Arabidopsis thaliana: one gene and its partner. The protein of the gene in region 2 interacts with the protein of the main gene of each other region in a pairwise test. Each region holds a gene or a part of one and is shown on either strand. Other genes may lie near its edges.

Region 1 (4,305 bases), on a different chromosome or scaffold from region 2:
AAGACATTCAACCGCTTGTTTGTGACAATGGAACTGGAATGGTTAAGGTAAAGTTTCTCTCTAAGACTCTTATTGCTATGTCACATATATATAAGGCTATGCCATAAACGACTACTCAAAAATATATCCCGTGCTTAGGCCGGATTCGCGGGTGACGATGCACCAAGAGCGGTTTTTCCGAGCATTGTAGGCCGTCCTCGCCACACGGGTGTGATGGTAGGGATGGGACAAAAGGATGCTTATGTTGGAGACGAGGCTCAATCAAAACGTGGTATCTTGACTCTGAAGTACCCAATTGAGCATGGAATTGTTAATAATTGGGATGACATGGAGAAGATTTGGCATCACACTTTCTACAATGAGCTTCGTGTTGCCCCTGAAGAACATCCGGTTCTCTTGACCGAAGCTCCTCTCAATCCGAAAGCTAACCGTGAGAAGATGACTCAGATCATGTTTGAGACATTCAATACTCCTGCTATGTATGTTGCCATTCAAGCTGTTCTCTCACTCTATGCCAGTGGCCGTACAACTGGTCAGTAACACACTTATATTTGTGTTGATCCAATCTATAACCAGTTTTTTTTCATGCTTGATTTTAAATAATATGAACTATTTTAAGGACTATTTGGTTATGCTTTTATGGACAACCCTAATTGGTTCTTTTGCAAATTATTGATTAGGTATTGTTTTGGACTCTGGAGATGGTGTGAGCCACACGGTACCAATCTACGAGGGTTACGCTCTCCCACACGCAATCCTACGTCTTGACCTAGCAGGTCGTGACCTCACGGACCACCTCATGAAAATCCTCACAGAGCGTGGATACTCCTTCACCACAACTGCTGAACGTGAAATTGTTAGAGACATGAAAGAGAAGCTCTCTTACATTGCTCTAGACTTCGAGCAAGAGCTAGAGACTTCCAAAACAAGCTCGTCCGTTGAGAAAAGCTTCGAGCTTCCTGATGGACAAGTGATAACCATTGGAGCAGAGAGGTTCCGGTGTCCGGAAGTTCTGTTCCAGCCGTCAATGATCGGAATGGAAAATCCAGGAATCCATGAAACCACATATAACTCTATCATGAAATGTGATGTGGATATTAGGAAAGACTTGTATGGTAACATTGTGCTAAGTGGTGGAACCACAATGTTTGGAGGGATTGGTGATAGAATGAGCAAAGAGATTACGGCTTTGGCTCCAAGTAGTATGAAGATTAAGGTCGTGGCTCCACCGGAGAGGAAGTACAGTGTATGGATCGGTGGCTCTATATTGGCTTCACTCAGCACTTTCCAGCAGGTGAACACATTAATATACATTTTTATTATTATTTGATCATGTATAATATAACATTCATAAGTTTGTTTTGATATAAATATTGGTATGTGTTTGAAAACTTGACAGATGTGGATTGCGAAAGCAGAGTACGATGAATCTGGACCCTCAATAGTGCATAGGAAATGCTTCTAATCACAGTTCCTAAGATCACCAAACGAAGACGGAAGTAAAAGTAAAAGACAGAAGGTTAAAAACATTGAGATTACTACCAAATGCCACATTTTTCCATTATATTTTCTAATCTCTCTTTTATCCTTTTTTTTTTGAATAGCCTCTCTATGTTAATTTTTCAACTAAGCATACTTTTCTTTAAACAATTTCCACTCCCAATGTACTATATATAAGCGACTAATTTCAATTATTATATTTTCTATTTTAAACTTAATTTATTTGTTACTCAAAAGAGATTTTGTGATGGTTAAACAATTGTGACTAATATACTTCAAAGACATCCGTATCAAACACAAAACAAGCTCCATAATGTTGATCTAGTACAAACAATTGTGACATATAAATGCATATTGTCGAAACTCACTAAATCTTAGATTACTCGGTTAAATGGATGTGGTCTAATAAGTGTCAATAAACACAACACAAAATGTTAAACTGATGGATTAGTGATGAGAAGATGAGTTTAAATGTTTCATTTAGTAATAAAACGTGTTTATTATGTTTGTTGGTAAAGAAAAGAAGAAACGAATTGTTGATGGTTAACTAAATTTTAATTTCTTATTCGATCTCGGTTTAACCGAACCGAATCGTAAACCCAGAAACAGAAGCTGCGACGGAGAATCCATTTCTCGAGATCGTCGCCGTTAAAATCTGCGATCTCATTGCTCATTGGTGAAGACAAATCCCTAATTCGTATGTCAGATTCTGTGGCCGGCGATTTCCCTCCCGATCCACTTCTCGCCTCCGGAGCCTTCATCTCCTCCGCCGGTGACGGAACCCTAGACAGTAGTGCGAAACGACGACCGATTCAGGGAGGAATCGGAATTTCTGGTTCGGGAGAGAGCGTACGCATCGGGATGGCTAACGGCACTGATCAGGTGAATCATCAGACGGAATCGAAGTCGCGGAAGCGTGCGGCGCCTGGAGATAATTGGTTGCCTCCTGGTTGGAGAGTTGAAGATAAGATTCGAACTTCCGGTGCCACAGCTGGTTCGGTGGATAAGGTAAAGAATCTCAGCTTGACTCTGCTTTTCTCTATGAAGTTTTGAGCTGCGTTGTTGCTTGAAGACTACAAATTGAGGATTCTTTGATTGCTGTTGTTTTGTTCTCTTTGGTTTAAAAATCTTGCCTTTAAAGTAGTGACAAGTGTAATGATGTAGTAAAATGATGTGGTTGGTTCTGCTTAAGCATTAATGAGTTTGTTTAGATTATGTTAATGGTGTATTGGGACTTGAATCATACACTTTATCAGTGTGATTAGTGTTACTTTGATTTATCAGGTGGATTTAGATGGTTTGGTTTGGTATATATTGTGATTGAAGAGATGAAGTTTTGGTGTTGTTATACTCGATGCTAATATGGGTGTAGATATTGATGTGTAGACTTGTGACATTTTCTTATCTGGTTTTGCAGTACTATTACGAACCAAATACAGGACGTAAGTTTCGGTCCAGGACTGAGGTGCTGTACTACTTGGAACATGGAACTTCTAAAAGAGGCACCAAGAAAGCTGAGAATACATATTTCAATCCAGACGTGAGTTTACATGCTTAAAGATTAAACCTTTCACCCTGGTTTCAAACCTGTGATGTGTATTGAATTTTGCATTTGCAGCATTTTGAAGGCCAAGGAAGCAATAGAGTCACCAGAACCGCTACAGTGCCTCCACCTCCGCCACCGCCATTGGACTTTGATTTTAAGAATCCACCAGACAAGGTAAGCTGGTCTATGGCAAACGCAGGAGAAGAAGGTTGGATACCTAATATTGGGGACGTCAAGGTTCAAGACTCAGTGAGACGAGATTGGAGCACTGCGTTTACCTTTATCACAAGCCGAAACCCTAGTAAAGTGTCGGCTTGAAGACTATGATGACCTGGTGGCGATTTTTGGGTTGTTGCATCTATGGTAAGATACACAGATATGTTAGGGTTACTTAATTGGATAATTCTTGTTTAGTCTTCATTCATCAATCATCAAGTTATGTGTACTATAATTTTTGTAGCGGTTTTTGGAAGAATATGATAAGGGGATATGCATCTTTGTGTTTGCTTTTGGAACGTGATAACCATTCGACTTTTGACTGATGAAATTGAAGACACTGTCGTAGTAACAAAGCTATTCTTCTTAGACATTTTGATACTGAACTATTCTGTGTTCCAAAGTCTTTTACTTTGTGTTTAGGAAAAGATCTTGTTCTTTGTGAAACCAGTGTCGTAATTCAAGAACTAATGCTTGACATGTCTCACCTGCTCAGGTTATCTAAATCTAATGGATAAGAAGAAACATCAACAATACTGCACTGATACAAGACAAGAAGCGTCTGTAGTCCAACGGTTAGGATAATTGCCTTCCAAGCAATAGACCCGGGTTCGACTCCCGGCAGACGCAATTATATTTTTCCCAAACATAATTTTAGATTTTGTTAACCAAACAATTTGTGGGGTTCGAATGTAACTGGTTGTAGCACATTTAATATCTGCAATAAATTATCAAAAAGGCCATTGGAACTCTCCCAACCCATCGTCTAATTTAGTAATTTTTGGTCTTGTAACCTTCTAGGTGTACCAGAGGCTTCCTTATTAGTCTTGTATCCCAAGCTTTTGAAAAAAAGTGAAACGAAAAGGTTTTAAGTTTTGTTGGCTTTTGACTATCATTTCCCCTCTCTGTTTATTAAAATTTACAGTATTGCCACTGAGTTTGCTGCGACGGTCTGTCTCTTCAAAAAGCAATTTTGGGGAGGAAGAGAAAACCTTAAGAGTCAAACGGAAAAAAAACACACACTATTTTTGTGATTCACCAAG
Region 2 (4,102 bases):
TCTCTTATACACTAAGAGGTTTAGTCTCTATTAAGTGAGTTCTGTAGTAATCGGGATATCCACCAACTTGTGTATGATCAGGTCGAACTTCTCCTGAGAGTTCATCACAAGAACCTAACCGCTCTTATCGGATACTGCCACGAAGGCAAGAAGATGGCGCTTATCTATGAGTTTATGGCTAATGGAACCTTAGGAGATTACTTGTCAGGTCAGTCTATTTGCTACTTTGTTTTGGTCACTGGTCTTTTGCTGCTGTAGACATTGTTTTACAAAATGAAGGTACCATTTGACCGCAAGAATTAAGCGAGAAAAGTGATGTTTAGAGCTTCGGGGTTGTTCTTTTAGAGGTTGTCACAGGCCAACCGGTGATTGCACGTTCAAGAACAACAGCAGAGAACATACACATAACTGAGTCGACTTTAATGCTGTCGACAGGAGATATCAGAGGCATTGTGGATCCAAAGCTAGGGGAGAGGTTTGATGCTGGTTCGGCATGGAAGATCACTGAAGTAGCAATGGCTTGTGCATCTTCTAGTTCTAAGAATAGACCGAGGATGAGTCATGTAGTTGCTGAGCTAAAGGAGAGTGTAAGCAGAGCAAGAGCTCAACAAGTGATATGAAATTGGGACAGTAGTTAGTAGTAACCACAACATGTAAAAATTCAATTGGTATGATAGCTAACAATCTCCCACATTCTGTTGTGTGTTTCTTTGTTTTGTAATAACTCTGGTTACGAGTAGAGAGACATTCATATAAGAAGCACATTTACAAAGTCTTAAAAGTTCATTATAACCATAGACCAAAAGGCTAGTTAGACAACTTAGCTAATTCATTACAACCATCGACCAAAAGGCTTGTTAGACAAAGCTAATTCTCACACGAGAATCCAAAGTCCTAAAAGTTCATTAGAGTAGATAGAAAGATGAAGCCTAAGATAGATAACAAAATAAGGCATTACATCTTCATTAAACCCGAGATTAAACGGATAAACATATACAATCCAATAGCTTCCTCTTCTTCTTCTTAGTTGGTTTGAGTAAGCACTGAAGTCACCTCCTTCAAAACATCCATGTTCGCCAACAACAACTCACATTTCTTAGCATCCACAAGCTTCATCTTCTCTTGAATCCTCTTCTTAGTCTCCACGGACACCTTGCTCCACTTCTTCTTCACAGAATACTCATCCAAACCGAGACTAGCGATAACCGGAACAAGAAAAGACTCCTCAAACCACTCCGAATCTTCTCCAAGAATCACGACTTGCTCATCTTCTTTAACCAAAGGTTTCACGTTCTTCTCCTTGCTATTAGCCTTAACAAGAACAGATTCATCTTTCACTTTCTTCTTCACAGGAGTTTCAAGGCTCACACCATCAGATCCCCAAAAAGAAACAGCCAAACCCAAACACTTCTTATCATGATCCGATTCAACACTTCTCACCTTCCGGTCACCAAAATACTTTCTCTTAAAGCTTCTAATCTTGTCAAAGAACTGGACTTTACTAACATCAAAGCTTATAGATTTCTTGGCGATATCAAAAAACCTATCCTTATGATCCCAAGGACTTGTACCTGTCTCAGCTTTGAAATCGATCATTGCTTGCAGGAGAGAGATCTCGTCTTCTTCACTCCATACTCTCTGAGCATGCCCCTTTTTGTTATCGCCCTCTTTCTTAATTCTTTTGACATGCATGTCCCTTGACGTGGTTCCTTCGCTAGCTCGCTTCTTCCCTGACTTCACCGCCGGTGATTCAGTAGCACCTTCGTTATTCCCTGACTTCACTGCCGGTGATTCAGCAGCACCTTCTTTCTTCCCTGACTTCACTGCCGGTGATTCAGCAGCACCTTCTTTCTTCTTCCGCCTGGTTAAGACGAATGACTGCTTCTCTGACTCTGAGTCATCAGAAACTGCCACGGCGGCGGAAGGAGAGTTTAGGGTTTTTGTTGACGGAACAGTGACGGGAGCTTCTTTGGGTTTGCTTTCTTTAGAAGAAGAGATCTCTTCAGAAGAACTCTCAAATTCGCTTGAAGAATCGATTGCTGGATTTTCCAAAGAAGCCATTGGATTTTTTTCGGTATGATGAAGAAGAGTGAGTGAGAGAGTTACTTTTTTTAGGGTTAGTGAGCGGCGAGACTTTTTTTCCTTTAACGCTGAACATTCTTCACTCTCTTTTATATTTAACAAACAATCTAATTAAACAAAGCCCAACAACAAATTAAGGTTGTTCGAATGTTGTCTGCTAAGAGTTTTGGTGGGCTTGATAGGGACAAGGTATTGACTTTAGACTAAGTATCATCGGTTGGTCTTGTCTAGTGTTCTCCATTTCATATTAGTCGTTTTGCTCTGCCTATAATGTTCATTGCTAGGATTCAACAGAGAATAAAGGCTACAATAAGCATATAGTCTTATCTTCTTCAGGGGTTGCTAACATTATTAGTTTGAATCTGATACGCATGGTACACACTCTCTTTAGTCTCTGTAACAGTCTTCTCATTTTTTGAATGATACTACTACTGCTAGAGATCTTTGCCGTTAAATATAGACAAAGTTTAGTAGCCAGGCTAGGCTTGGACATTCGGATTTCGAATCGGATATATTCGGATTCGGATCATTAGGATAGGAGAACTTATTATCCGTACGGATTTTATGAATTTTCGGATCGAATTCGGATCGGATATTTTCGGATTCGGATAATTTGGATAGAAAATTTATTATCCGTTCGGATTTTACTAATCTTTGGTTTGGTTTTTGTTCGGATAAGTGTCGGATTCGGACCGGTTTTTAAAGAGCTAAAAATTGTTCAACTTAAATAAAAATTGGTTTAATCTTTACTAAAATTTGGTTAAATTTTGCAAAAGTATGTATACTATTAACAAATGTAACTAAAAGATTTCCAATTTCTTTATTATTTAGGATATTTTGTTATTTATTATAAAATTACAACTAAATATAAATAATATTTTTGGATATATATATTTTTCAGTTTTCGGATATCCTCTCGGATTTCGGTTCGGATCGGATTCGGTTCGAGTAATTCGGATAGGAGAATTCATTATCCATTCGGATTTTGTAACTATTCGGTTCAAGTTCGGTTCCGGATCGGTTTTCGGATTTCGGATTTTATAGCCAGGCCAAAGCTTTTTCATGTACATGATTTCTTATTCTAAATAGAATTAGGATTAAGTAGCTTCTTTTTACTTGTTATTCAAACTTGAGGAGAAACATCAAACTTTGTTTATTTACAAAGTCTGATCAATTGTTGTTTGTTTACACATATAAGGTCTTCTTAATAAATGCGACTCTGCTTATGATTAGATAGTGAGATTCTCCTGTATGGCTAGAAAGGATCCAACAACGTTTCCTCCGACATCAGGGAACTCCTCACTTCCTGGAAGTGGTCGGACTTTGCCTTTCCGATCAACTTCCACCGGATATTTCATCAGATGTCCTCTCATCTCCGACACTTCCTCACTCCTAAACTGTTCCCAGTTCTCCTCCGCCACTGTTCTCACTTTCCTTACACACCCTAGACTCTCTGGCTCCACAAAGCAATCATCTAGCAGTGCCATGTGTTCTGCCCAAAGCGACATTCTATATCCGTAGATCTGCAGATTATGTACCAAGTATTATTGATACGACTAGGACTATGAAACCATGTGTGTACTATCTTTGTGTGCTATTACCTGACCCCGAGGACCTGACTGTCGTCGTGCCCATGTATGTTGAGGCTGGTAAGCTCCCATTGCAATCTCTGTATCTCTTGTCCCCTCCATTGATCTTTGGTTTATGTTTGCAGATCCAATTACCACATACTCATCATCAACAACCATCCCTTTTGAATGAACATATATCATAAATCTTCTGCTCTTTCGACATAATCCCTATAATACAGTTTCAATCAAAACTCATCAATCAATGACGATAGAAACCGCATTAGCAAGTCAAGCAGTTTGGTTTTGTTACCTGAGGAGTGTTCTCGTTGCTTGCACTTCCTGTACCCGATTCATTATTTCCGTTCACCATTTCTCGGTTTCCAAGACAGAAGAAATTCAAATAGTCTTGTGGGGAGTATTCATCTTCAAGCCCGGCCTCCACTAACGCA

Evidence for each region.
Region 1: the proteins of AT4G00238 (region 2) and MBD6 interact in a two-hybrid assay, tested with the Arabidopsis thaliana proteins (one large-scale study listed by BioGRID).

What each region holds. Positions count from the first base shown.
Region 1 is NC_003076.8:23,950,122-23,954,426, forward strand, and holds MBD6 (methyl-CPG-binding domain 6), read left to right. Parts: upstream 1-2,010; 5' UTR 2,011-2,199; coding exon 2,200-2,508; intron 2,509-2,917; coding exon 2,918-3,040; intron 3,041-3,118; coding exon 3,119-3,364; 3' UTR 3,365-3,586; downstream 3,587-4,305. Other genes in the region: ACT4 (actin 4), read left to right, coding at 1-47, 139-532, 681-1,294, 1,400-1,465. UniProt on the Arabidopsis thaliana protein: Transcriptional regulator that binds CpG, CpNpN and CpNpG (N is A, T, or C) islands in promoters regardless the DNA methylation status. Plays probably a role in gene silencing. May associate with histone deacetylase proteins (HDAC).
Region 2 is NC_003075.7:103,069-107,170, forward strand, and holds AT4G00238 (DNA-binding storekeeper protein-related transcriptional regulator), read right to left. Parts: upstream 2,154-4,102; 5' UTR 2,062-2,153; coding exon 1,024-2,061; 3' UTR 755-1,023; downstream 1-754. Other genes in the region: PLDBETA2 (phospholipase D beta 2), read right to left, coding at 3,312-3,605, 3,684-3,881, 3,964-4,102. UniProt on the Arabidopsis thaliana protein: Transcription repressor that binds DNA in a sequence-specific manner, 5'-GCCT-3', to regulate the expression of PGR. Acts as a modulatory component for the glucose-triggered developmental leaf growth process.